5 linked regions of the Canis lupus familiaris genome follow. The protein of the gene in region 3 interacts with the protein of the main gene of each other region in a pairwise test. Links are inferred from orthologs where the notes say so. Each region holds a gene or a part of one and is shown on either strand. Other genes may lie near its edges. The genes, in order: HTT, SMAD4, PIAS1, ATXN1 and MX1.

What was found.
Region 1: the proteins of PIAS1 (region 3) and HTT interact in binary tests that used the Homo sapiens proteins (3 or more experiments, as listed by UniProt). The link is inferred for Canis lupus familiaris from reciprocal best matches to the Homo sapiens genes PIAS1 and HTT.
Region 2: the proteins of PIAS1 (region 3) and SMAD4 interact in a two-hybrid assay, tested with the Homo sapiens proteins (2 studies listed by BioGRID and IntAct). The link is inferred for Canis lupus familiaris from reciprocal best matches to the Homo sapiens genes PIAS1 and SMAD4.
Region 4: the proteins of PIAS1 (region 3) and ATXN1 interact in binary tests that used the Homo sapiens proteins (3 or more experiments, as listed by UniProt). The link is inferred for Canis lupus familiaris from reciprocal best matches to the Homo sapiens genes PIAS1 and ATXN1.
Region 5: the proteins of PIAS1 (region 3) and MX1 interact in a two-hybrid assay, tested with the Homo sapiens proteins (2 studies listed by BioGRID). The link is inferred for Canis lupus familiaris from reciprocal best matches to the Homo sapiens genes PIAS1 and MX1.

What each region holds. Positions count from the first base shown.
Region 1 is NC_049224.1:61,750,086-61,754,196, forward strand, and holds the start of HTT (huntingtin), read right to left. Parts: upstream 2,804-4,111; 5' UTR 2,665-2,803; coding exon 2,450-2,664; intron 1-2,449.
Region 2 is NC_049222.1:24,020,637-24,024,149, forward strand, and holds part of SMAD4 (mothers against decapentaplegic homolog 4), read right to left. Parts: intron 3,393-3,513; coding exon 3,218-3,392; intron 2,774-3,217; coding exon 2,744-2,773; intron 1-2,743. UniProt on the Homo sapiens protein: In muscle physiology, plays a central role in the balance between atrophy and hypertrophy. When recruited by MSTN, promotes atrophy response via phosphorylated SMAD2/4.
Region 3 is NC_049251.1:32,546,710-32,550,944, reverse strand, and holds the start of PIAS1 (E3 SUMO-protein ligase PIAS1), read right to left. Parts: upstream 2,801-4,235; 5' UTR 2,786-2,800; coding exon 2,729-2,785; intron 1,493-2,728; exon of another isoform or gene 349-1,492; intron 1-348. UniProt on the Homo sapiens protein: Functions as an E3-type small ubiquitin-like modifier (SUMO) ligase, stabilizing the interaction between UBE2I and the substrate, and as a SUMO-tethering factor. Catalyzes sumoylation of various proteins, such as CEBPB, MRE11, MTA1, PTK2 and PML.
Region 4 is NC_049256.1:17,160,932-17,164,960, forward strand, and holds the start of ATXN1 (ataxin-1), read right to left. Parts: upstream 2,808-4,029; 5' UTR 2,567-2,807; intron 1,592-2,566; exon of another isoform or gene 1,333-1,591; intron 1-1,332. UniProt on the Homo sapiens protein: Chromatin-binding factor that repress Notch signaling in the absence of Notch intracellular domain by acting as a CBF1 corepressor. Binds to the HEY promoter and might assist, along with NCOR2, RBPJ-mediated repression. Binds RNA in vitro.
Region 5 is NC_049252.1:35,797,775-35,801,287, reverse strand, and holds part of MX1 (interferon-induced GTP-binding protein Mx1), read right to left. Parts: coding exon 3,390-3,513; intron 1,180-3,389; coding exon 1,025-1,179; intron 361-1,024; coding exon 222-360; intron 1-221.

The sequences.
Region 1 (4,111 bases), on a different chromosome or scaffold from region 3:
CTCCACAAGGGCAGAGCTTTATCTGTTGATTGCTGCAGCCCTGCAACTATTAGCACAGAGGCATACATTAGATGCTCAGTAAATATTTATCGATGGATGAATAACTAAAGTCAGGTGGAAACCAGGTGGGAATCTGAAGGACAGTAAGAAAAGCACTAAACACAAATGTCAACTATCTCATAATAGAGTTAGGACCGTCCCCACCTCTGGCACTCCCCTGCATGCCAGCCCTGCTGAGATTCTAGCCGGTCCCCTCCCACAACCCCAGCATCCCTGCATCCTACATGCTGAGCAGCAAGCAGGCACTAAAGCCCACGCATGGCTGTGACACTACAGCTCCACACAACAGAAGAGAACCATAAAAATAGAACAGATACTTTCTAAATCATTTTTGGACAATCCTGCTTTGGGGAATGGATTTTTCAGCTGAAGCACCTGAACAGAAATGCCAGGATCCAAACTTGTAAGCAGAGTCTGTTACTCAAAATTCATAAATTTCTACTTTCTCAACAGCAAAGTGCCTACAAATATGATATTTATGTATTTTATTTAAAATAACTACTATTAGGCCCATCAATGTAGTTGATTTCAGAGCATGCTAGGAAGCTTTAAAAGTTACTACTCTGAAATATTTCTATTTTAAATAACTCGAAATCTCTCTTCATGTATCCATGGGTTCTATCTGTAAGGGTACAGAAGGAAGAAGTTTAAGAGAGCTTGCCTCTGGGAACACAGTTAGGTACTCAGGAGAAACAGACGGAAGAGAGACATTTTAATTATTATATTTTTGTAATTCAAGAATTTGCATCATGGGAGTGTACTATTTACATGAAAATAATAAATTACGCTTTTTAAATAAGTCAATCACATATGACCTTAAAATAGGGTAATAAAACAACATCTATCTACTTTTGCAAGGGCAGTTTTAGAAAAAAAAAAAACCTACTTTATACCCATATTTTGAAGATAAACAAATTCAGATTCTGTCAAATCAGTGTAAGAAACAGATGGCACATTTTTAGACTGACCAAGTATTTGAACAAGCCTACAGTGACAGCAGTAAGGTCTCCCTTCCCACCCAAAGCCCTCCCTCCTTAACGCTTCCTGTTATACAAGACCCATGCAATGTGTGAACTTCCATGACATCTACCTCCTAGAGAGAGGCAGTCCAATAAAAGTCTGGGATGAATTATGATGATAAATTACCTGATGTAGAAAGAACTCAAATTATTTTTTAAGTATTTTTTTTCTCGAAGCATCCAAACAGGTTTTTCACCTCTTAGAAGAAAAATTAATTTACTTCTAAAGTCTATCCTAACAGCCAAGTCAACATCACTCCCCAAGTCATTTTCTAATTGAACTCTCAAGACATGGCAAGGACCACGTCAGAAACACAAAGAATAAAAAAACACTACTAAAATTGAACGTGACATTATAAAGGGGCTGCCCCTTGGAAACTGTCCTCATTAAATGCCACCACGCATCCAGATGGCAAACCCAGACGCCGGGGGAGAGAGGCCCGGACCGCCGCCGAGCACTCCCGCACTCCCGAGCTCACGGAGCCCGGGGAAAGTACCTGGGTTCCGCCGGCAGGAGCGGTCTCCAGGCACGAGCAGCAGAGACCCCTAGCTTCCAAACAGTAGCACGCAGGCGTCTCCAGCGAAGGAAACAGGAGCCACCCACAGGGACCGCAGGCAAGCCGAACTCCGAGCTGGTGTAATGCACATCATTCCTCCCCCAGCGCTGAACCTCCCTCTCGGCAACGGGTTGTTTTTATTGCCAAGTGAACACAGGCAATAAACTTCAGGCGACTCTTCCTAATAATGACCTTCTAAGCAGCTCACCACTTCCTTGGGTCTGCAAACCAGCTTGAGCTTAGACACGCGAGCGGATCTCCTCCTGATGCCAGCGGACACGCCTCGGGAGGATGCGGGAAGGCAGCCTCGAGGCGCAGAGAAGAGCCCCGCGGCGCCGGGGCCGCACTCCCGCGCCCTCCCCGCCCCCGCGGCCTGAAGGCATGATGTCACCGCTCTCCCCCCGCCCCACCCCCCGCGCTCGCTCCCAAGCCCGGCTCGCGGCGGGGTGTCCGGCGCCCGCGCTCCTTCCTCTCAGGGACGCCCAGGGGGAAGGGAAGCGGCGGCCTCGGCTATCCAAGTTCTGCCCACAGCACAGCCCGTTTCGTGCAGATACAAAGCAGCAAGTTCCTCCCCTAACTTCGCACGCCGGGAAAGGCGGGGGGCCGAGGCCGTGCCCGCCTCGGTGCCCTCGGGGGCGGCCGGCGAGCCCGAGTCCGCCTGCCGAGGGGCGCAGACACCCCCGGGGCCGGGTCTGGCCGCAGGACGGGCGGCGGTGCGCGCCCGGGGTTCGGGGAGCCGCGGGGCCGGGGTCTGCAGGGGCGCCGCAGCCCCCCGCCGTCGCGGGGCCGGAACTGCCGCGAGGCGGTACTCACGGTCGGTGCAGCGGCTCTTCGGCCACCGCCGGGCCCGGGGGCGGCGGGGGCGGGGGCGGCGGGGGCGGCTGCGGTAGCGGCGGCTGCGCCTGCGGCAGCGGCTGAGGAGGCTGAGGAGGTGGCGGCGGCGGAGGCTGCTGCTGCTGCTGTTGCTGCTGCTGCTGGAAGGACTTGAGGGACTCGAAGGCCTTCATCAGCTTTTCCAGGGTCGCCATGGCGGCCTCCCGTCCCGCGGGGACAGCCCCCCGAGCCCTCGAGCCGACCGGCGGCGGCGCTCAGCAACGCGGCAATGAATGGGGCTCGAGGCCGCGGACATGAGCGGAACCAAGGAGCCCGGCCATCTTGGACCCGTCCCGGCAGCCCCCGCGGCCGTGCGTCTCTCGACGCTGCGCCGGCGGGGCGGGGCCAGGGCGGCGGGATTGACAGCCCGGGGCGGAGACCTCTGCCAATGGCCGGCCTAAGCGCCGGCCTAAGCGCCGCCTGCCCCTCCCGCGCCCGCCCGCTCGGCTCCCAGCACCGCCGCGCGGCTGAGATCACAGCCCCACTTTCCGGTGGGGGCGGGGCGGGGCCCGGCGGGGCGGAGGATGGGGGCGGGGCCGGGGCGGGGCAAAGAGGGCGGACGAGGCAGGGGACGCGGCGGGGAAGCACCTGCGGCGGGAGGGGCGGAGCGGAGGAGGTAGGGCGCAGGGTGGGAGGCGGGGCAAAGCACAGGGTGCAGGGTGGGGGCGGGCAGTGAGGCGGGGCAGAGAGGACGGGGGCGGGCGGGGGGCGGGACAAAGAGGGCGGGCGTGGCAGGGGGCGCGGCGGTGAGGCACCTGGGGCGGGAACGGCTGGGCGCGCCAGGCAGAGGATGGGGGGGGGGCAGGGGGCGGGGCAGAGGTGACAGGGCGGGGGGTGAGGCACGGCGAGGCGGGGAGGGGAGGGGAGGGCCTAGGACAGGCACCCGGTAGAAACCTGCCGGGTCAGTGCCTGCAGCCCGCAGAGTCTGTGGCTGGTGCCACGAGCAGCCACTTAGACCCCAGAGGCGCCACGCATAGCAATGATGGCCCAACCCTAACGGGTTCGCTTGGAGGAGAAGACCCTTGCTCCACAGAGGTCTGCAGGGCACCTCCTGCTTAGGGTGGGTAGGCTCTGAGAAGGGTCCTGGGCTCCAGAGCCCCACTCCTTGGAGGCGAGGAAGTGAGCCAGCAGAGGACCACAGAGGGCGGTGGCGCATCAGGGGGCACCCTGCCTGGCAGGGAGTGGGTTGGCCCCAGAGAGAGTTGCCTGGGGAGGGGAGAAGGGACGGGGGTTGATGCATGCACTATGAACCCTCCCGATCCCACTCTGCCCACAGGCCACAACTCCACCTTCTCTCACCGCCAGTCAGTTGTCCCAAGTGGTCAGATAAAGGGAAGCCCAGCGGCACCACAGAAGCATTGCCCCTGAGGGGAGAACGACAGGACCCCCCCCCCTTCAGGGAAAGGACATCAGAGAATGTGCCCCCAGCCTGGAGGGCCTAGTTCCCTGAAGTTAATAATGAGGTGTGTACCAGGTCTCAGGCATGGCAGGCCACAGCGGCCAGGCTCCAAGTGTCGGGTGCTGTGGTCTGCAGACATTAAGACAGCCAGGTGACCCCTTCCTGATATTCATGATATCCATGCCTTCGTATGATCAGATCCC
Region 2 (3,513 bases), on a different chromosome or scaffold from region 3:
GCTACGCCTCATAACCTTCTCTCGCCTAATACACTGAATAAACCTTCCCCAATGTAAGTCTGAGAGTTCTACCGACTGCAAGTGTCTTCAATCAAATAACTTAAAACATGTCCCTTAGGTAAAACTATAGGTATCAAGGATAGATATCTGCAGAATATTTTTGCCAAGAGAAAAAAAGTTGGTTACAAAACACCATTGTACACTATGATCACATGCATGTTTAAAAAATCACATTCTGTAATTAAAAAAGCAAGGTCCAGAACAAGTGCACAATATGCTTTTAATGTAAGAAAAAGAGGGAAATAATACATGTTTTTTTTGCATAAAGAAACCCTGGAAGGAAACACCAGAAACTAATAAAAGTGATTACCTGAGGTAGGGGGGAATGGGGGCAGGGGTGGGAGCACTTCTTTTCACTGTATACCTTTTTATAGTATTTTGATTTATGGACCATGTATTGCCTATTCAAAAAAATAAAATTAAAAAAACATATAGTATATATTTTTTAAGTCCAGAATAACAGACACCAAACTATTAGCTATTTCTCTTTATGGACTAGCATTCAACAAATTTATTCACTGAATAAATATTTATTGAGTACTGTTCTAGTACCTGGGACACATGAATAAAGAAAAGAAAAATTTCTTTCATGGAACTTATACTACAATATTTTTTTCCAATATTTTTTTATTGTTTAAATATCTAATATCGAGGACACATTACTCCAGCTCCTCCTGTCTATCATGATCTTCATCTCATCAAGCGTAGATAATGCCACCTTCCATGTGGGAGTATAACGAGAACAATGAAGCAATACTTGTAACTCGTACAGCTCAGTTCTGGACAAAAAGTCTGTACTTATCAAGTATCAGCTGTTATGCTTTAACCATACTTTTACAGCAGTCATACATATAACTGTAAAATATTTTATGAGGGGTAAGAAATGTATAAGGGACAGAAAAGCTGAAGCCACTGGACTCACCCCAAGTCAGTGTTCTTATCCCCACCAGCAGGCAGAGCACAGCACTCGTCTGATGCTATTGCTGTCTTATTTACTTTGTCTTTCCTCCACTAAACTATTAGCTACCTAGTGTGGAGAAAACACACCTTACTTATCCTATCGTCCCTAGATCCTAACACAGTACCAAGCAATACATGCTCACTAAACATCTCTTAAAATGAATATGCAGACTGATGTGGTCATGGAAAGCTTCACAGAAGATATGAAATAGGCTGGAAATGATTACCCTAAGATTCCAACTCAAAAGTGAAGGAGTTATCCCATTTTCTTAACTTTTTCTTTACCTGGCTTTATATTATTACTCTGTCCAAATCTAGATGGGGATGTGGAAAACACCTGTTGTTTTTTAAGGAAATAAGCCACTGAAACTGGCCTTTACAAACCACCACTAGGGGGATGTGCAAGGCTAAAACAACCCTTAGAGCTACTAAAAAGAGCCTATCACCCCCACACACAATCTGACCAAAGATGACCAAAGATAGCTACTCATAACAGCAACATGTTAGGATAAGGGGGGAGTGTAATGAGTCTTCAAAACTGGATCTCCTCACAACCACTCCCACTAAGGAGATTCTGATATAGATATCACTAGAGTCCCCCAATCCTTAACCCCTGCTGAGCTAAATACTTTAATTCTCCAAAAGCATGGGTGGAGAATGGTGAAGATCTGAAGGGTATTTACTTTCAAAGAAAAAAGAAGACTAATATTAATGTAAATTGTAGTAAAGAGGCAAGACTTAAACCAATCTTAGAGCTACCCTTCCAGACCACTACCACATTACCAATCCATGTTTTCAGAAACCTACTAACCAGTAACAAGTACCAAAAGGGACTGGAGTCTTCCTCTATTATAGCGACATGGAAGAAAGGTGAACTATAAAAACAAGTAGACTTTCAAGCTCTTCCAAAATTTTGTTTAAGGTTAGATGTATTTCTGACCCACCTCTAAGATTCTGCAACAAGTACCAACCCACTGTTCCTCCAGAACAACTGCACATCTTTCTAAGATAATGGTGGTTCTTTATCAGAGTTTCTCTTCAAATTAACTGCTTACAAAAATTTTAGTTCATATTCTAAGTAATAAAACTAAAGTTTCAACAGATCTCTGTTCTCAAATATTACACTAAAAAACACCACCCCTCATTGATTTCATTTCCCTACCTCAAAACATGCTCTTTTAAAAGAGAATTAGATAATCTATGAAAGTTAAAGTAGCCTTGTTTCATTTACTCAAAAATGTAACAAGAAAAAAATATTAACATATGTAGTTTTAAATCATGCTTAAAATTATCATTCATAAAAAATAGGGAAAAACAAAGAAAAATTAGAATATTAGTATTTCTTAAAGGACATGCTATATATGACTCCAAATTACCAAACATTATAGGTATTTATATTCATTTAAATTGGCTCTGTAAGATTTTCTTCCAAAATGATCAGTTTTTATCAATTCAAAAAATATTCTTTCTTCATATGTTTTATATTCCCCTATCATATTTTTTAGGTCACTCCAGTGCATAAATGGTAGTTCAACAAACCACCAGGCTATTTAAATTCAGTTTTAAATACTGATGTGTGCTCCCAAAGAACTGGATTTCCAAAGCAGTAAGTATTTTTCTTGTAAATATTACCAGCATCCATACAAACTAATTTTAGGTCAATAAAAAATAGAGGGAACAGGATAAAGAAGACAGAGAAAGTTACAAGAAACAGATTACCTACCATTACTCTGCAGTGTTAATCCTGAGAGATCTTAATTTTTTAAAAGGGAAAAGAAAATGAAACATTAATCATTACCATGAAAATATTTTCCACTGTATTTAAAATTACAAAGTATAAATTTAACCCAGAGATTCAACACTTCACAAACCATTTCAACTCAAGAGTAGTAGTGTAAATGCTATCTGACGATACATAAACTATTCAATTCTATAATGCCTTCCACCTTATTTTTCAAAACCAATATTCTAGATGAGCAGAACATGAACTATAGTGTATACTTAGTTTTAGCAGTCAAAATACAAGTCTATTCTAAAGTTTAAATTTAAATATTTATATTTCATTAAAAATATCTGATTCTTAACCTTAGCTGAAGTCCTGGCTCTATCCAAATTTATAATTTGGCATAGAAAAATTAAAACAGTATCAAGAACTTTTCCCTTCATGCATCTGAAGATAAAAGCAAAGTCTACTTACCAATTCCAGGTGATACAACTCGTTCATAGTGATATGGATTCACACAGACACTATCACATTTTAAGTCAAATGCATACTGACAATATTTAACATGTTTGAGTTCATTTTTATGAAGATCAGGCCACCTCCAGAGACGAGCATAGATCACATGAGGAAATCCTTTCCGACCAGCCACCTAAGAAATATAAATGATCACTTATAGATTTTTTAAAAGATTTTATTTATTTATTCATGAGACACACACACAGAGAGACAGAGAGAGAGAGAGAGAGAGAGAGGCAGAGACACAGGCAGAG
Region 3 (4,235 bases):
ACAGCAGCGAGACCCGCACGTACCATTTAAATAAAGGCGCCAAGCGAGGAGGTTTGACAGTTACTCCCCCCTGGACCTCCCCGCCCCCCATCCTCGCCGGGCTAGCGCCTCCGGGGAAAGCCGGAGCGGGGGGGCGGGGGGGGTGCGGGCCAGAGCCCCGCCTCTCCGTGGCCTGCAGAACCCTTCTTGCAAAGCTTGGATGCCTGCAGTCCCAGAAACCATAACGGCCCCCTCGCCTCCCCCCTCCTCCGCCTCCCCCCTCCCCCCCGGCGCAGCCAGCGAGTCCTTTTCAGCACCTGCTACCTGTGAGGCCACGCGTGCGCTAAAAATAATCCGTTACGTTTGCAGATCGCTGGATGAAGCATTTCCAGATTTCTTAGCTCAGATGTTCCTCATGACGGCGCGGTGAGGTGGGCAGAGGAGACGTTACAATCCCCGTGGCATCCTACGTAGTCAGAAATGAGAGCTCAGGGAAGGGGAAAAGTGAGTGGCCCAAACACTTTGACAGCGGTGACCCGGAGACAAAATTTCATAGACGTTCGTTCATTTAACTCTGTTTCAACGAGTGATGATTCACTGATTATGTACCAGTCCTGTTTCTTTGTGAATACATCGGGGAAATTTAAAAAAAAAAAAAAAAAAGAGTCCCCGCCCTCCTGTATGTAGCTCTCTACTGGAGGAACAGACAAGTGCACCGATAAAAGATACAATTACAAATGGTGAGGAGTACCGGAAAAGAGCTAAAAAGGTCCAGGGAGAAAAAAGCGGTTGGAAGGAGATGTGCTTGATACCGGGAGGGCTTTCTCCAATATTTTGACGTTTGAGCAGATGTGATGAATTATTTCACACCTTTTCCTCGCTACTGAAAGCTTCCCAACCTCCACTCTTTGCTCTCAATTTTTGCTTCATTCCTCATGGAAAAAAATTAAAAGATATAACAGCCATGAACTCCCTTATCTTCTCACCATCAAAACTATTATTACAGACATAGTAACATTTGGGTTACTATGAATGAAGTGTCCTTGCGCCTATGAATGCCAGTCCCTCTACCAGTGACCTGGATTCCTTTCCCTCCCACATTCCTAAAAACTTTACTCCTACAATCACCTCGCCCTCCAGCATCATAACTTTTTCCCCTATTAGATTACTTCTATCAGGATACAAACATACTGAAATTCCTCCCATCTAAAACAAACCTCCCTTGACTCCAAAATCTCCTCCAGAACTGCCCTATTTCTCCCTCTTCAGTGCATAAATTCTCAGGTTTTTCAAGATCTCCCAACAGTGATTGTTCTCCTTTCCTCATTCCCTTCTCCTACCACATTCCCTTCTCAGCCCACTCCGATCCAGCCTTGACTTCTCTCATCGAGATCACTTATCAAGATTATTAATAATCTCTGTTTCCAAAACCACCTGTCAATTCTGTATTATCTAAAATGACCTCACAGCAGAACTGCAATAACTAAATAAATCTTAAAAAAAAAAAAAAAAATGGATGGGAGCTGGTCACTGGAAAGACTAAACATTGGGCACCTGGGTGGCTCAGTCGGTTAAGCATCTGCCTTCAGCTCAGGTTATGATCTGAGAGTCTTAGAATCAAATCTCACATGAGGCTCCCTGCTCAGTGGGGAGTCTGCTTCTCCCTCTCCTTCTACCCCTCCCCCCTGCTCATGTTCTCTCTCAAATAAATAAAATCAAAAAAAAAAAAAAAAGAAAGAAAGAAAGACTAAAGTGATTAGAGGGAGGTTAGTAGATACATGGAAGTACTAGGAAATGGGCGCCAAGAGAGAGCAGAGAAGCTCTGCATTCCCGCCCTTCATGCATTACCCTATGAATCTCTTTCACTTAGCTGTTCCTGAGTTATTTCCTATATATTAAACTGGTAGGGGGCACCTGGGTAGCTCAGATGATTAAGCATCTGCCTTTGGCTCAGGTCATGATCTCAAGGTCCTGGGATCGAGTCCTGTATTGGGCTCCCTGCTCAGTGGGGAACCTTCTTCTCCTTCTCCATCTGTCTCTCCCCCTGCTCATGTTCTCTCTCTGTCTGAAATGAATAAATAAAATATTTTAAAATAATAATGATAATAATAATAATAAAGTGGTAAATGTAAGTAAAATGTTTTCCTGAGTTTTGTGAGTCCATTCTAATAGATAATCAAAACTGAGCAGAAATTATAGGAATTCTCAAATTTGGTAGGTCAGAAGTTCAAGTGGCCCATGAGACTGGCAACTGGTATCTGAAGTAGGAGCAGTCTTGTGGAACTGAGCCCTTAACCTGTGGGATCTCAACTTATCCCTGGAGTTGATGTCAAAACTGAATTATTGGATATTTAGTTGGTGTTAGAAGAATTGGTATGGAAAGATTTAGTGTCAGAACCTCAGAGTTTCTTTAATATATATATTTTTAAAACTACATTTTACATTTGTATTGGTAAAGACTAATGCAATCCAAGCAGAGTATGCTTATTTTTTTCTTCTGATTTTAAGGATTTAAAACATTTTTGTGGGCCCTAAAATGATTGTCCCACCAACATGTAAAAATTAACTTCGAATTAATCATAGACCTAAATATGAGTTAAAACTTTAAAACTCTTTGGGGTAAGTCTCTATAACCTTGAGTGAGAAGTAGCTTTCTTAGATAGGGATCACACACAAGTTTGTGGTAGGAATGGTATAGCCATTTTGGAAAAGAGTTTGGCCGTTCTTTGAAAACTGAAAAGGTACTCACCATACAACCCAACAACTCTTGGACATTTATCCCGGAGAAACAAAAACTTCTTTCCATGAAGGGAATTGTACAAGAATGTTCATAGCAGGGATCCTTGGGTGGTGCAGCGGTTTGGCGCCTGTCTTTGGCCCAGGGCGCGATCCTGGAGACCCGGGATCGAATCCCACGTCGGGCTCCCAGTGCATGGAGCCTGCTTCTCCCTCTGCCTATGTCTCTGCCTCTCTCGCTCTCTCTCTCTGTGACTATCATAAATAAATAAAAATTAAAAAAAAAAGAATGTTCATAGCAGCTTTATAAGAATCCCAAACCAGAAACTATCCAAATCTCCTTTAATGGGTAAATGGCTAAACAAACTGCAATACAGGTATCTTATGGAATACTACTTAGCAATTTAAAAACAAAAACAAAAACACACAACAACTTGGATAAACTTCATGGAAATTATACTGATTGAAAAAATAATAATCCCAAAAGGATGTCTATTATGTAACATTAATGAAATAACATAAATACAGAGATAGAGAATAGACTAGTGGTTGTCAAGGAATTAGGGATGGGGGGAAAGGGTGGTTCCTACCAATGTCAATTTCATGGTTTTGATATTACACTTTAGTTCCACAAAATATTAACTTCCAGGGAGACTGGGGAAAGGATGCATGTGACTTCCCTATACATTTCTTTGCAATCTCCTGTGAATCTATAATTACTTCAATACAAAAGTACACATTTTTTCATATATATATGTATATATGAATATGAATATCTAAAAAGTATACATGTATATAAATATTGAAGATACAATGTATCAAAATTGTGAGGAGAGGGATATCATCAAAATGGCAGAACTGACAGCTCTAAACCCCCATACCTCCATGGAAACTTTAAAAAATAACCAGCAACTGTCAGACCAACTTTGTCAGAATTCTGGAAAACAGTCAACCAAGTAAATGTTCAATCCAAAAAATAAAGTAAAATAAAATAAGACAACTTAAAAATGGCAAGAAAACTTTATGATACTTTCATTTATCCCTGCCCTACTCTATCTATGACTTGGCCACCGCAGCCCACCTTCCTAGGATGGAGCTCTAGTCCCTGGAAATCATTGTTTTCATCTGTTCTAATCTTCCTGGAAGCCAGCTGAAGGACTAACGCAAGGCTTATCTCTCTTTTGCTTAACCAGCAGAAAAGCGGCAGACATTGCCTGAAAATACTGTAAGGTAAATAAACAACCTGCAACTGCCTGGGGACGAAGGTTACCATTGGTACCTAAATAGACCACCTAAAGCCTGGGAGTAAAAGCTAAGGAGAGAAGTATACTGGGAATTTAGGTCATTCAAAATGAAAAGTGCTCATGAACACAGGGGCATTTAGAAGGCCATGTAACATGCCTGAGACAAGATGCATCTCAGGAAAGACCCCAAAAAGGCCTAAGATTCCAACATTGGCTGCTAAACATGTTAGTTGCAACCAGGAAGTGAAGGCTAAGAAAGAATTTCAAATGGCCTTG
Region 4 (4,029 bases), on a different chromosome or scaffold from region 3:
CCCTCCACCCTCTGCTGTCCATGGAAGGTGGCTTCCAAGCCTGTTCGTCTGTGGAGCTGCTAAAATATTGACTGAGGCACGCACACTTGGAGGACAATCAGAGGAGATTAAATGCCACAGCATTAGCTGTTATGGTGCAATCCCTTTCTAAGAGTTCATGTGCAGGATTTTCTCAACCTTCTCTTTGGTGCTGGTTTCCTCAGGCACAGGCTTCACTCCACCAAAAAAAAAAAAAAAAAAAAAAAAAAAAGTCCAAGTATCAAACTACAAATAAACCACAGGGTGGGCTCACAGGGGCTTCTAGGAACGAACAGCAGGGCTCCTCAGAAACCCAAACAGAAATGGCTTAGCTAACTAACACTATTGAAAAAGTAACTGGCTCTGCCTAAAAATAACCATCAAGTAACTACCCACTGCTCTGTGCGATATGTACCGACAATGTTTAAATATTAAGAGCAGCCTGCATTACAAAACACAAATGTCATTGAGATGTGACTACTCGATTGCCAAAGGAGAGCTTATTTGCATATACACATTCCCGTGCCTGCACCAAGGGACACGCAGGGAGCCTGCCACTCTAAGGCGGTAGTTTTTATTCTGCGGGTGCAAGGGGGTCGTCTAATTCTACTGATCGTATCCTGCGGATCTCGCAGGGAAGCTACGAATCTCTTCGGGGACAGAACCAGTTTGGAGGAGTCCCTTACTGCACAGCATACGGTAAACAAAATAAAAATAGCTTGCCGTTCTCGTTAGCCACATCGCGCATTATATAACCAGCTTCCGACTGGCTTTTTTTTTTTTTTCCCCCTTACTACTCTTCAGCAATTTCCCAATCTCCCGAAGTATTTATATTACCCTCTTATCTGCAGGATTATATACTAAGAAAGCACAACAACACAGAGCAGCCACAGGGTTGAACCGAACCCCACGGTCCCTGGAAACTGATTTTTTTTGTTGTTGTTGCTGCTGCTGCTGCTGTGTTCTGGCAAGATCTCCACCACCACCCTACTTCCACCCCCCACGAAGGTCCTTTTGCTCGGTCTCCCTAGAAAACCTGAATTGTTGCACCGCTTCCAGGCAGCCCCCTACGTGGTCTGAAATAAAATGAAAGCACAAGCCCCGGAGTTTCGGAAGGCGGCGGGAGGGCGGGGGGCCGGGGAGGGGTCGGGGCGCCGCGGAGTCAGCCAAGTGGCCGGCGAGGGGCCGCTGCCCCCCGCGCCCGCCCCGGCGCCCCCACCCGCGCGCGCGCACACACACACACACACACACACACGCGCGCGCACACGCACTCACACACGCACGCACTCACTCACACTCACGCCGCCGCCTCACCTCTCGCTCCGCCCGGCCGGCCCCTTCCCTGCCCCCGGCGGGACCGGCCTGCTCGCGGCGCTGGAACCACGTAGGAGGCGGCGGCCGCGGGAGTGGCGGAGTCTCCGGCCCGGCCCAGAGTGAGCGAGCAGCGGGGCTCCAGGGCGCATCCCAATCCCCGCAGCGCCTCCTCCGCCGCCGCCGCCTCCTCCTTCCCCTCCTCCTGGCTTCATTCACCCTCCCAGCCGCCGCGCAGCCGCTCACTCCCGGCGCCGCTCCTCCGCTGCCGCCGCGGGCGCTGGCGGGGGCGCCGGCCCGGGCTGGGGCGCTCGCGGGCTCCGGGCTCCGGGCGGCGGCGGCTGCACATGATCAGGAAGCGGCCGCACCAACAGGGCGGCGGTGGCGGCGGCGGCGGCGGCGGCGGCGGCGGCGGCGGCGGAGGAGGAGGAGGAGGAGGAGGAGGCGGCAGGGCCGCCGCCGCCGCCGCTCCAGCCGCGCTCCCGGCACCCGCACGTCGGCTCCCCCCGCGCCCACCCCTCCGCGCCCCCCGCGCTCCCACCGCCCGGCGCCCGGCCGCGCGCAGAGTCCCGGGCCGCAGCCACACGCCGGGCGAGGCCGGCCTCCGCGGGGGACCCCCCGCCCCGGGCTCAGGGGCCGGGCGGCCCTCGCGGGGGGCGGGGGGGAGGCCCGGCCCCCCTCCGGACCCACTGGCTCCGCCGCCCTCCCGGGGGCCCGGGCTGCGCAGGGGGCGGCGGGCGAGAGGGCAGCGCGACCCCCGGCCGCCGCCGCCGCCGCCGCCGCCGCCTCCAGGGAGGGGGACGCGGGTCTCCGCACTCGCGGCCGGCCCGGCAGCCCCGCCGCTCCCCCGCCCGCTCCCGCTCCCGCTCCCGCACCCCCAGCCCGGGCGCGCCCCCTCGCCGGGCGGGCGCCCACCGGCCCGGCAGCCCCCCTGCCGTCAGTCCCTGCGCCCCGAGCGGGGGTGTCGGCCCGGGAGGCTGGAGCGGGAGAAGGCGGTATGTACACACACACACACACACACACACACACACACGACACAGCACGACGCGTCGATTTCCTTCGCTCCTCTTCCAGCTGTTTTCTGTGCCGGCGACTGGGGTTTGGGGTTTGTTTGCTGGTTGTTGCTTTTGCCCCTCTCTGGAGAGCGGGGGTAGGGGCCAATTTTAATCTAGATAAGGGGCGAAGGGGATGGGGGAGGGGGAGGAGAGAATCAGAGGAGAAAAAAATAGCCACTTACTGTAAAGTGTAAATGGATCTGGGGTTGCGTGGGGAAGGGGGGGCAGAGGGAGAGAAACAGTGTCTTGCGGCTGCTGTAGCTCTGGCGGCTGCTCCGCGGGGCTTGTTTTGTGATCCCCCTGCAGTGAAACAGGTCCTGTACGGCTCCGCCACTGTAGTAGAAATGATGTCTGCGGTACACTCTGCTCTCTCCTCCTCCTCCTCCTCCCCGTCCTCCTCCTCCTCCTCCTCGTCCTCCTCCTCCTCCTCCTCGCCCTCCTCCTCCTCCGACCCCCCCGCTCCCCTCCCCTCCCTCCTCCCTCCGCCCGCCCGCCCTCCCTCCCTCGCGCTCTCTCGCGCTCGCTCGCTCGCTCGCTCGCTCCAGTATGTAAATGTGTAATAGAAGCCAAATATGGAGCAGTTGGCTGCCGCCGCCGCAGCTCAAGGATCCGACTTGGGGGTGGGGGGTGGGGGGGTGGCGGGGGGGGCCCCGCGGCGGGCGGCGGGCGGCTCGGAGCAGCGCGAGCGCACGGCGCGGCGGACGGCCCGGCCGGCGCCCTTAACCCTTGGCTGCGCGCGGCCCGGGGAGGCGGCCCCGGGAGGCGGCGCGCGGCCGGCGACCGGCTGGCGAGCGGGGGGCGGGGGGGGCGCCTCCGGCCGGAGGGACGCTTCTTCCAGGTTTGGGAAAGGGGCGGGGAGCTGAAGCGATGAGGTAATTTCAGCGGTGACCGGTCGGTCCTCGCGCGCCTCCCCGGGTCCCTGCACCTAGTTGGAGGGGGACGGGGCGAGGACGGCGGGGTGCAGCTCGCGGCGGCCTGCAGGGCGCTCCGGGGGGTGTCGGGCTCCGGCCCGCAGGCGGAGGGGAGGGGGCGCGAGGGTGATCCCGACGTGCCCTGGGTCCGGGGCGCGCCGAGAATCGTCTAAGGGGGCAGACTCGGATCGCCGCGCGGCGGCTTCAGCCCCTGAACCGGGCCCGCGGGGCTGCGGGGATTGCCTCTGCGTGCGACTCGGGAAAGTTTGCAGGGTCCCCGCGCCCGCATGGGCACCGTCACCTTTCCCGCCTGCCGGAGCGGGTGCCCCCTCCTCCCACCCCCACCCCCCCACCCCCCACCCCCCACCCCGTTTCGCTTTCTGCAGGTCTGGAAATCCGCTCGGTAGCGCCCAGCCCCAGCCTCGGAAGACGACCCGCGCGCTGCTCTCGCGGCTCATTCGGATCATTAATTTAATCGGAAATGAGGTAACCGGTGCAGGAGACACAGAAAGCAAACCGAACGTCAAATGGCAGTTCTCGGGGATCCACGCTGGGGAACTTCCTCCGCGCTCGGCCCCCCGGCGCGGGTCCCCGCGGCCCACCGCCCCGCCCCCTCCGCGCGTGCCGCCGCCAGGTGTTAGCTGGGTGGCGAGGAGCCTGCTGTCGAGGGGTGCACCTTGCCAACAGGTGTGGCACCTGGAGGAAGCGCAGTGACATCCGTGCTGGAGGGAGCT
Region 5 (3,513 bases), on a different chromosome or scaffold from region 3:
AGTCTTAGGATGCAGGGCCCTGCCCCGTAGAGTCTGACACAGGAGGGTTGGCGGGGTCGAGGCACTTGAATTTCTAAACATTCTGCAGTTATTCCTGCAGCAGGTGGCGCGTGGCCCACCCTCGGAGAAGCACAAGTCCGGCCAGGACCAGCGGCATCATTGGCTGAGGCTGCTGCAAAGTGAAGACCACCTATGGCGTCTAGGTTCTTCCTTCTTCTTACCTATGGTCCTGTCTCCATCAGGGTCCACCTCCTGAGCCATGCTCAGTGCCTCCGTGGTGGCAATGTCCACGTTGCAGGGGACCACCACCAAGTTGATCGTCTCCTGCTTAAGGATGTACTTCCTAATGAGTTGCTTGGTCTGCGGAAAAATAAGAGCATATGAGAGCAGGGACAGGGCCTGACCTTGCACTTGCTTTGGGACCTCAGAGTCCCAGGAGTATCTCCCCAAAAGAAATGAGCCCACGGCAAATCCTGGTGGCACTTAAAACTCATGCCTGGGTTACAAGAATCCAAGTTTCCCCGTGGCAAAAACAGAGCTCTGGGGTCCAGAGCTCTGGGAAACCACCAGATCTTAGCCCAGTAACTGCCTTCTAAGACTCCACAGCTGATAACCACGGGGAAAAATAAAACTCAAAAAAGCGCTCAACTGTGCCCTAAATCTTTATTTCATCTATTGGGTGACATTCGCCAATACGAAAATATCATTATACTTGTTTCTAATGCTTTCTCTCCCCACATAAAACCCCTTCCTAATACACATTGGTCTAGATACACCACAAAATGTAACTATAACCAAAAACGAGTCACGGGGTAAAACGCGAACGTGTGTAAAATGGATTTCCAGTCTTGCCTGTTGGTCTCACACTCCCCAGAGTGCCTCCATCTGACTTGGTAGAGGCCACAGAGACCACCACGCTCTCCCCATCCACTTCACACCTCCTGAGATTCACTATCCTGGCTCAGCCCTGAACCCACTGCTGTCTGGGGCACCACTCCGCAACCCTCCCAGACCAAGGTTTTACCTGGCGTCCGATGTCAGCTGGCTGATTGCCCACAGCCACCCTGGTGATGCCAGGGAGGTCTATCAGGGTCAGATCCGGGACATGAGGAGAGCTGACCTCCAGGCTGATTAGCTCATGACTGATCCCCTGTCCTTCCCCGGCAATGGCATCCTGGGCTAGGGAAGGGGGAAATGAGAGAAACTCAACAGAGCTTATAGTGGAAGCATCTCCCTACAGCCCTACAGCAAAACTTCCCTGCCATGAGTCCTGGACAAGGCATATCTGGAACAGATGTACTTTTCTGGAGCTAAAAGGAACCTCAAAGCACAACTCAGTATTTTCTTTGCCAATGGGCAGAACCATATGCAGAGAGACCTAGTGAAAACATCCCTCAAGATCACCCCCACCTGTACCAGTTCAGAGCTGGGCAGACCTGAGTTCTTCCTGCTGTCACACCTAAATCTTCCCATTGATGTCATTAGGAAATTACCAACAAGGTAAAATGAAAGCAAATAAAAACACACAGGGACTCTTGAAACATGATCTGGAAAGGTATGGAGGGGAATGTGGTTATTTCAAGGAAGATGAGCACTGGTATTCCATTATGGGATTTCATTTTACTTCTTCCTCCTTAATGATGAAAATTTCAAGATATACATGGATTTTGTCAAATTGTTAGCTGCTACCATTTGACTTCTTTCTACAACCAGAATGCCTTTTTGGCTTGTTTTATACACTCAAGACCTTGGGATGAGAGTGACAGCAATGGCATGTGTGTCATTATCTGATAACTGTGCCTCCAATTTCCATTTACCAGATATGTGGTTGTGAGATTAAGTTTGGCCCATGAGATAAATGTGACAAAGGCACAGGCAACCTCCATAAACTCTCCTGAACAGGCAGGAAAAGCCCTGTGCTGGTGTCCAGCTGGCTGGGACAAGGGAATTCTGAATAATTATGTGGCTTTGGGAGTGACGGCCACACACAACGAGAAACAACATGGGAGTCTGGTTCCTGACGCTGGAACCCTCAAACCAGCTCTGGTCTGCCCACCTCCAGACATCTACATGAGAGAGAAATAAAATGGGCACATTGTTTAAACCACCGTGTTAGCAGCCCACTTGCACAAATGGCCTCAACAGTCCCTTCCATCACTGTCTGCATGCTCCTCTACAGGGTGACCTTCTCCCATTCAGACAGTCTGTCCCTTGACATTGGGCTTGCCCATGTGACCCCCTTTGGCTGACAGGACATCACAGAATGGATTGCAATAGAGATTGAGAACTTGTGCATGGGGCTTCTCCCCCCTTGTTGCTGGGAAGCCCTCTACCACCATCTAAAGAGCCCAACTTGGCCTCCTGGAAGAGGATGGCCACCACATGGAGAGAAGGCCTGGTCATTGCAGCCCCGGGCTTGGGTATGTGACCAAAGCCATCTTGGACTGCTGGACCCAGCAAGCCAGCTGATCCTCTGAATCACGAGTAATGAACAGTTCCAAGCCATTGGGTTTTGAGATCAGTTTGTTACACAGAAAGGGACAATTAAGTATACACAGTGGTTTTGAATTTTCTGCCTTAGGAGCTAACCTGACCCCAACAATCACACAATAGCGTTTTGACTATAAAACATCCCTTAACTTTTGTAAAAAACAGTCTGTAAATACGACTTAGGGCTTCTACTTCATAAAAGTCAAACTCCTTTTCTGCTGCTCAATATTAATGTTATGCTACTTTTGAACCCTCCTCAAATGATTGAAAAGCTTATTTATTCTCCTCAGTCTCAGCAGCAGCCAATGGGGTCACTACTGGTCCTTCCCTACTTCAAGTGCTATTTCCCCTTTCAGATGCTTCAAGTTGGCAGCGTGACCTGCGTGGCTTGCATTCACTGAGACCTATCGTAAGTCAGCCCAAGCTAGGATTATGCACACACATGCATTTCACTCTTGGCGGAAAGGGCCCCAGGAAAGCTTCTAAAGAGGGTTCAGGAGTGTTCCAGAATGCCTTTCAACCAGGTGAATTCCTACGTGAATGGGAAAGAGGTTTCCCAGCCCCACAAACCGATTCTTCCTCCATCAGATCTGTGGAGGGGGAAAGCCCTTGAATAAAGGACAGCTCCTCCTTGTTTAAATTTTAAAATTCACATTACCTCCAGATACTTACTTACAAACTAAGCAATAAATTGCTGAGATCAGATCCTGTCCAAGGTGCTGGTCATAATGAGGGTCAAAGAAGAGAAGCTATGAGGGAGCCAGGGCCTGGCTCACAGGGTGAGAGGAAGACCAGCCCAGAAAGGGAAGGTAGGAAGAAGGACAGATGGACCTCCTCCCACTTCACACAGGTGACCAGACATCCAAGCAGGTGATGACAAACAAACATGGGGCACTCACCTTTATTGATTTCCACTTCCACCTCTGAAGGGTCTGAAATCTCCATCTCAGTATCCTGGTAACTGACTTTGCCTCTCCACTCATCCTCATTTATGAGCTTCTTCAGCTTCAGCACCAGAGGACA